Bombyx mori: one gene and its partner. Each later gene encodes a partner of the first gene's protein in a complex. Links are inferred from orthologs where the notes say so. Each region holds a gene or a part of one and is shown in the gene's direction. Other genes may lie near its edges.

Region 1 (3,827 bases):
GTCCCGGTAGAGGGCGCGCGGGCAGGTCGCGGACACAGCCGCTCCGTGCGGCGGCGGCGGGTCGGTAGCTCGCACTTACCTCCCGAGGCGACGTCGCTTCCGAAGTCCCGCTTCTAACAGACGGTCGTATTACAGGACAGGCCAGGAACGTAACGGAACTAAACAATGTTAGATAAATGTATCGTCAAACGATGACGCCTTACCGACGAGCCTCCCTAAGGTTAGAAAATATTTTAAGAAGAACAATTAGCGCCGAGCGGCGGCGCGCCCGACTCCAAGAACCACTCGCTTGTAATTAATTGTCCGTGAAATCATTCATTTAATGTCTTTGTCTTTTTATTTAGAAGATCACCAGATGATTTCTACAAGTAAAGTTACAAATGGGTTTTTCTTTAATTTGGACCGAGAAATCTTTTTTAATTATATAAAATCTCCTTCCCCTCTATAGTGTGGTTGAGCATGATCTCGGTTGCCAGTGTAACTTGGGAACCTACCGGGATGGTAGAATTATTTAAACAAGGAAAGTGGTGACGGGTTACCAATTATAAATTATTTTTTTTTGGAACCACAGTAGTTATCTTGTCTAATCATACTTAATAGATATTACTAATCACGATTTTTACTTTTCAGCTTATTTTAAACAGTCCATCGAGAAGTTAAATAATATTAATTACTAAGATTCTGTAAATTTTTGAGATTTAATGACATATTATGATGTAGTGTTACCGACCTGTTGTCCAGCAGTGGGACTCTTCTTGTGGACCAAATAGCTTCTTTTTGGACTTGAACATTATTTTATAAGATATAATATATATTTTGAATTAAAAGTAGAGTCCCTTCAGGACATCATTGTTCTTAAATGTTTAAAGAAAATTGAAAGATACAGAAAGAATAAATTATTAAGAATAGTTAATAATAATTAGAAAGAAGAACAGTAAATTATTTAAATTGTAAAATCGTTGAAAGAGTACTATAATTATAATACAACAATGAAGTAAGTTTTGCAGAGTTCGTTAAAGAAAAGTAATGAATATTAAATGAAGGGATGGTCCGTATGAGCGAGCACGGGGGCCGTCAGGGCCCATAGACAACGCGCATGTTGTCCCCCCGCCCAGCCCCCCACTTATCAACATGTCATCTTATAGGGGGGTCAAGCGGGGGGACAGGCTATCGACCTCAAAGTGTACTGTCAGTACTGGCTCCACCCTGCCTGTGCGTCACAGCAGACAAATGAACATATCTGTGAAACTGATTTCATTAGTGATGCAGGGGGGCGAGAGGGGGGCGTCCCCTCCGTCCGCACCGACGCCACCTAATAACGTTTTCTTGCAGGTTCTAATGACATATTGTACATTGCAGGTTCCATAATGTTTATCTTTACATTTTCAGCTTCTAACCCTAATGATGAGTTCTCTTGCAGGCGGTTGCTCGTATCGTTTATAAGCGACGTTTGCTCGCGGCTGGCGGGGGGCGGGGGGCGGGGGGCCCGGACTGCTATGCGAATTGTTGAACCCACCCCCTCCTTATACCAACTCTCCCTCTTGTTTATTTGTACAATCATGTTTCGTTTTGAACTATAAGAAATTGTTTGAAATTAGTTTATGACATTTCGAGATAAACTTATAGTAATACGCACGCTAGACCCCGCCGCGCCCAGAGGTCGACTCAGGACCCGTGTTTTAATGTTGAGCATTTAAAGTTACAGGCGATCTAATATAATGTTTCGATATATAAGTATGCGAACGAATTAAATGTAATACAACATTAAAACAAAAAAGTAGATAGTCAATAAAATTGATATTTAATATTGAGCTCCCGACCGGACCCCACGAGGGGGGGGCAGCTCCCGTATCAAAAGGTATTCTCAATATCACCTAGAACAAACCAAGGAGAATATAGATGAACTGAGAACCTCTACCTTTTATTGAAATCTTTTAAAAATTGACGTCCAAAGCCGGGATCCGTCGCCGCCCGGCCACCGCCACTTGGAACTGGTCTGTCTTATTCAATTTGTATAATCTCTTTAGATAAATATGGCTATATTGAAACTTGTGAAAAATATCATTTGAATTGTCCCACTTCGGCGTAAATAAATAAATAATTAAAATGTGCCTGTCCCCCCTCCGCGCCCCGGCCTCCGCCCCCGCCCCGGCCTCCGCCCCCGCCCGCCCCCCAGCCCCGACCCTCGTCTCCCCCACGCGCCGACCGCCGCCCGCTGCTGACCGATCTCTTTCCGTTATAGGCTAAACTGGAATTCATAGCGCTGCTCAAAGAGAAGTCGGTGGACCGCCACGCCAGGTGGGTCGATGTCAAGAAGAAGCTGGACTCGGAGGCGCGGTACAAGGCCGTGGAGACCAGCGGCCTGCGCGAGGACTACTTCCGGGAGTACTGCAAGCTCGTCAAGGAGGAGAGGAAGAAAGAAAAGGACGGGAAAGACAAGGGTCAGTACAGCTACACGGGGACCACTAGGGGGATCGCCCCGACACGCCGCCCCCCCTTGCGTTTACTGGCGATAGGACCTTTTGTGAGTCCGCGCGGGTAGGTACCACCGCCCTGCCTATTTCTGCCGTGAAGCAGTAATGCGTTTCGGTTTGAAGGGTGGGGCAGCCGTTATAATTATACTGAGACCTTAGAACTTTTACCTCAAGGTGGGTGGCGGCATTTACGTTGTAGATGTCTATGGGCTCCGGTAACCACTTAACACCAGATGGGCTGTGAGCTCGTTCACCCATCTAAGCAATAAAAAATGCTTTGTTGTAAAGTAATTGCGATACTAAACGTCTGTTTAATTCATCAGGTGTTAGTAAGAAAGAGAAAAAAGACAAAGAACGCGATAAGGAGAAGAAGAAGAAAGAGAAGGGAGAGGTGAGTCGTACGCGTGCGTATGTGTCCCATCCGAGTTGTGACTTGTAGAAACACTCGGAACTAAATCAGTGCTAGAGTCTGTCCGGCTCTTAATTACGCGCTGGATGCTGTGTCTCAATTTGCATCTTTATGTTGTACTGATTTACTATCCGGTATCCGGCCGGATAGTGACAACATGGCCGGATACCTGATAATTATCGTTTATTCGTTTCATCTCTAATGATAATTAGATGTCATGATGTTAATCGTATTGTGCGATCACTCTCCGCGCACTGACACTCTTGTTGTCCCACCGGGGGTCCGCGCCCCCTCGTGCTGAAGCGAATGTGTAATCTTGCCGTCTATATATCGACCTGCGTCGGACACGCTCCCTATACGGTTTCTTTGTTGTTGATGTGTTGTGCGCGCGAGCGGCGGGGGACCATCAGAACGAAAACATAAAAAGGTAAGAAGAACTGGCGTTTGTTTGTCTGCACACGAGCGGCCCGCGGTCCTGGCTTGTGTCGCGGCACGAGCCAGGATCGTGGTGTTTCTCTAATTATTAGTTACCGGGAGAGGTTTCGGGCTCTATAGTGTTATTCGTTTCGAAATTAAAAGTAACCCATTTATATTTCTTAATCGAAGACAACTCTATAAATGTAGCTAATTAGTGTCCTCAAACGAAATGTGAGTGAGTGAGTTAGTGTGTGTCTCAGTGAGTGAGTTAGTGTGTGTCTCAGTGAGTGAGTTAGTGTGTGTGTCAGTGAGTTAGTTAGTGTGTGTGTCAGTGAGTTAGTTAGTGTGTGTCTCAGTGAGTGAGTTAGTGTGTGTCAGTGAGTTGTTAGTGTGTCAGTGAGTGAGTTAGTGTGTGTGTCTCAGTGAGTGAGTTAGTGTGTGTCTCAGTGAGTGAGTTAGTGTGTATCTCAGTGAGTGAGTTAGTGTGTGTCTCAGTGAGTGAGTTAGTGTGTGTCTCAGTGAGTGAG
Region 2 (4,271 bases), on another chromosome or scaffold:
GGGGGCCCTTGGAACCATTTACGTAGTCGCTACGCGCGAACGTTAATCGACGATAACACCCTCAAACTACAATACAGGTGCATCATGGGGTGCTAGAGAAATATGGCACTTTATAATATATATTTGTCAACATAAAATTACTTAACGCTTATTCTTCCTTTTAAAATGACTTCAAAATATCCAACCAAATTCCTTTGATTCTATAAACTATTTGGCAAACATTAGTGCCATATTTTGACTTTTGCACCATCAAACTAGGGTGAAGGGTGATCATGATGTGCAGCTTTATGTATTGTGGATATTTCTAACGTCTGCTTAACTTACAACACAAGTCATACTTAGTCTTAGTAATGTAAAAAATGTTTCTAATTTCGAATCTAAATGTATTTCAATCTCAATCATTAAAATTTAAAACAGCACTAAGTTTAAAATTATTACTAGGAATTATTAATAACGCAATATTATAAAACAAACTATGTACTACTTACTATACTATATAATATGTTGAAACTGAATTAGGAAAATAATACTATTTGTATATAGAGTTCCTAATTCTAAGAGTTAAAGTAACTTTTTGTTATTAACTGAGAAATTTGGTCACTAGAGCCAACACTTCACTCGATTGTCAACCAGAGCCAGGCACCAGACTACAATGTGATCATTCGTGTTGTAGTCTGGTGCAGGCCTAGTGTTATAAAATTGACATCCCTGTTGGTATAGCTCTATGACTACTGTTCTTCTGGCCTTCTAATATAACAATTCCCTTGGTCTTCACGTTTGTCGATCTCGAACAATCAAATATATCTTCAGGATTCCGTCGTCGCTTCGCAAACCGGCGGCGTCCATGATTGTACTGCAGTTGCAATCGAACCCTGCGCGTCGTCCGTCCGTGGACAAACTTCTGCAGCATGAATTCTTCTCATCGGGGATTTTGCCAGCCGGGCTGCCCGTCTCTTGCCTCACCACAGCGCCGCGCACTGACCAGCTCGAGGGCATGCTGGTACACCGCCGCCCTCTTAACGAAGTTCATGCTAACGGTGCATATATTGTAATTTATTTAATCGCAGGCTAGACTTCGAGACTTTCTCCCTCATAAATTGATGAGGGAGAGTTCAATAATAATTAAAGAAATTATAGTTTTAAATGGTAAAATATCATCGCAGTTACGATGAACACTAAAGAATATGTCGGATATGCGCGGATCTTTATTAATGACCCGACAGACTTCGTAGTGCCTCAATCGATAAATAAAAAAAAGACCTAAACTTTTGCATAAAATAAACTTAAAACAAACAAAAGGAATCCGTTTGACGGGGTACACATCAAAGAAAAACAAAATTGTTATTTTTATTCAATTCTGAGCATTTTCATATTTAAACCTTCTCTGGACTTCCACAAATAATTCTAGACCAAAATTAGCCAAATCGGTCAAGCCGTTCTCGAGTTTTAGCGAGACTAACGAACAGCAATTCATTTTTATATATATAGATAGATAGATAGAAGATTCATTAAGGAGCACTTATGCACATCAAAATCTTCATAGAATCAAAAAAGCAGCATTTTTCTCCTTTTATAATTAGCTACTTTAAAATTCAACATAAATGAATTGACATTTATAATACGTACTTTCAATTGAATAGAACAAGAGACGATGGCAGTGGACTCGCCCGTCAAACGCGAAGCTACCCCCGCGGGGCCACGAGCTGTGGAACCAACGTCGCACCGCCAGAATTTTATTGCACTGCGAGACCAGCTCGCTGCATTGTTGGTTAACAAGGTAAAATATAGTTTTTTTTTATATTAATACTAGCGACCCGCCTTCGCTTCGCTTCGGAAACATTAAATTTTATTATTAATTAATAGCTGAGTCTCGCGATGTTACCCGCGGTTATTGTCGTACCGCGAGTGAGGCCGCGGGGCGAAGCTAGTCTTAAAAAAGTAGCCTAAGTTACTCCTTATATCATCAGCTACCTATCAGTGAAAGTCTCGTCAAAATGGTCTAGCCGTTCCAGAGATTAGCCGGAACAAACAGACCGACAAAAATTGTTAAAAATGTTATTTTGGTATATGTACCGTATATATATTCATATTATGCGCTTAGTAAAAAGCGGTTATTTCAATATTACAAATAGACACTCCAATTTTATTTATATGTATAGATGAGAAAAAATACCTATGGTCTAAATAACATTTAATAGGCTCTAGTTTTGAAATAGGGCAGGACCGTGCTATGAACTGGTATACGCTGATAACCTTATCATAAGTAGAAATAAATTGATAAACTCTTCATCTTATGGAACTTTTGTAACTTAATTATAAACAACTAGTTTGACTGTATGTTGGCATTTTCTATAACTTTTAGCTGAAATGCCGACCGGAGGCTCTGACAGACGAGCTGAGCGATCCCGCAGCACAGCCGCTGGTGTGGGTTGGCAAGTGGGTCGACTACAGCGACAAATACGGATTCGGATACCAGCTCTGCGACGAGAGCGTCGGTGTCATGTTCAACGATACTACCAAGCTTATCATGCTCGCTAATGGACTGTAAGTTTACGTTTAATATAAATATTAGATGATAATATCAGATATACATATTTTTAATTATATTATATTATAGTAGTATACAACAGGCGCTTGCAACAGTTTCGAACTCACTAAAATTCGAAATCACGTTCGAATCACTAAAGCTTAAAATAGTTTTTTTTTTTATATCTTTATAATGAGAATCAAAGTATAATATGTCATAAAACGAATGCATTGCACACTCAAAATTAGAATCAAATCATAGCTCACACAAACTTTAAACATATTTTGAAGAAAAAAAATTCGCAATACACTTTTTTATACAAGTGATAAGAATCCATAGACATCATAATATGTTAATAGCATATTCCTTGCGGCGTGATTCTCAATTGTTTTGTATTATGACTGTAATGTGCAGATTAGCAAGCAACAAAATCTTCATATTGCTATCTGAAAAAATAAAAGGAGATCTGCATAAACTATCCTTTTTCAGGAATGTGCACTACATCAATCGGCAGGGCCAAGAGCAGTACATGACGATGCGCGATTACCCGCAAGAACTCGACAAAAAAATGAAACTCCTTACATACTTTAGACGATACATGACCGAACATCTCATGAAAGCTGGTAAATTTTTCAACATCCATTGTCATCACTAAAGCATATAAATCAAATAGAATATTCAGAAAACAAAATGTGTGAGCAATAGTTTTCTTATGGCATGAGTAACTAATGTATTCATACTTAACAACAATGTTATCGCTTTTAAATAAATTTACCATTATCCAGGTGCTTCAGTACCAGTGCGAGAGAGTGATGGTCTGTCTCGTTTGCCACATTTACACCAGTGGTTTCGAACAACTTTAGCTGTTATTATGTACCTGACTAATGGAACTTTACAGGTTAGTAGAATTATATTTTAATGCTGTTGGCATATAATTTTTATTGATCTGTTATATTTCTTTCTCATCATGATTGTTTTTTTTTTCTAATATTACAGATAAACTTCCAAGATCACACAAAGATAATACTGTGTCCACTTATGCAAGCTGTCACCTACATAGATATAGAGAAGAATTTCAGAACATTCCGCTTTAATACCATTGAAGAGCATGGCTGTGATAAAAAGCTTTACACAAACCTCACATATGCATTGGAAAAACTAAACAGTGTATTGGCAAACAAACTGTGCTAGTTTTCACTGAACCTAAATGAGTAAATGAATTTGTGGGCTTTGTGGAAAGCTCCAATGAAGAACTGTGTAAACCAAGAGACCCTGCTTATGTAAATAGCAAAAAAGTTTGAAATCACTACAAATTTTCATCATTCTGTTCTTATTGATTGAGATAGTCTGTACTTGATAAAAAAAATCTTTACACTTAAATTTCCTAGGGTCTCCTACTTTTCTAAAATAAAAATTATATTACCTTTTGTATTTTTAGGATAGTCACCAGTATATTATAATTTAATAGAAGGGTCACTAAAATCAATTTTGTACCCTAAAATTTCAAACTTAGGTTAAAAATCCACCGATACTGTCTATTTATTTAGTAAATACTTTTTAATGATTTAGCATCAAATTATTTTGCCGATTCAGTATATGAGCAAAACTTTCGACTTTTTTTTTTATTCTTTAAATATGTGTCTTTGGTTGTTAATACATATTATATTCCATTTGATGCAAAACTTACTGACTTTGCCATTTCAGGGAATGATTTGATTTCTATCTACATATTTCTAAACATCTA

The links.
Region 2: the proteins of transcription elongation regulator 1 (region 1) and serine/threonine-protein kinase polo are in contact, whole or in part, in a crystal structure (PDB 3Q1I), measured with the Homo sapiens proteins. The link is inferred for Bombyx mori from reciprocal best matches to the Homo sapiens genes TCERG1 and PLK1. Residues at the interface, in NP_006697.2 of Homo sapiens: Pro101, Pro102, Pro103, Met104, Ser105, Ser106, Met107; in NP_005021.2 of Homo sapiens: Lys413, Trp414, Val415, Asp416, Tyr485, His489, Leu490, Leu491, Arg516, Phe534, Phe535, His538, Lys540.

What each region holds. Positions count from the first base shown.
Region 1 is NC_085130.1:19,184,503-19,188,329, reverse strand, and holds part of transcription elongation regulator 1, read left to right. Parts: intron 1-2,242; coding exon 2,243-2,441; intron 2,442-2,797; coding exon 2,798-2,865; intron 2,866-3,827. UniProt on the Homo sapiens protein: Transcription factor that binds RNA polymerase II and inhibits the elongation of transcripts from target promoters. Regulates transcription elongation in a TATA box-dependent manner.
Region 2 is NC_085121.1:12,624,896-12,629,166, forward strand, and holds the end of serine/threonine-protein kinase polo, read left to right. Parts: coding exon of another isoform or gene 1-77; intron 78-810; coding exon 811-1,037; intron 1,038-1,640; coding exon 1,641-1,777; intron 1,778-2,362; coding exon 2,363-2,544; intron 2,545-3,016; coding exon 3,017-3,150; intron 3,151-3,312; coding exon 3,313-3,425; intron 3,426-3,523; coding exon 3,524-3,718; downstream 3,719-4,271. UniProt on the Homo sapiens protein: Serine/threonine-protein kinase that performs several important functions throughout M phase of the cell cycle, including the regulation of centrosome maturation and spindle assembly, the removal of cohesins from chromosome arms, the inactivation of anaphase-promoting complex/cyclosome (APC/C) inhibitors, and the regulation of mitotic exit and cytokinesis.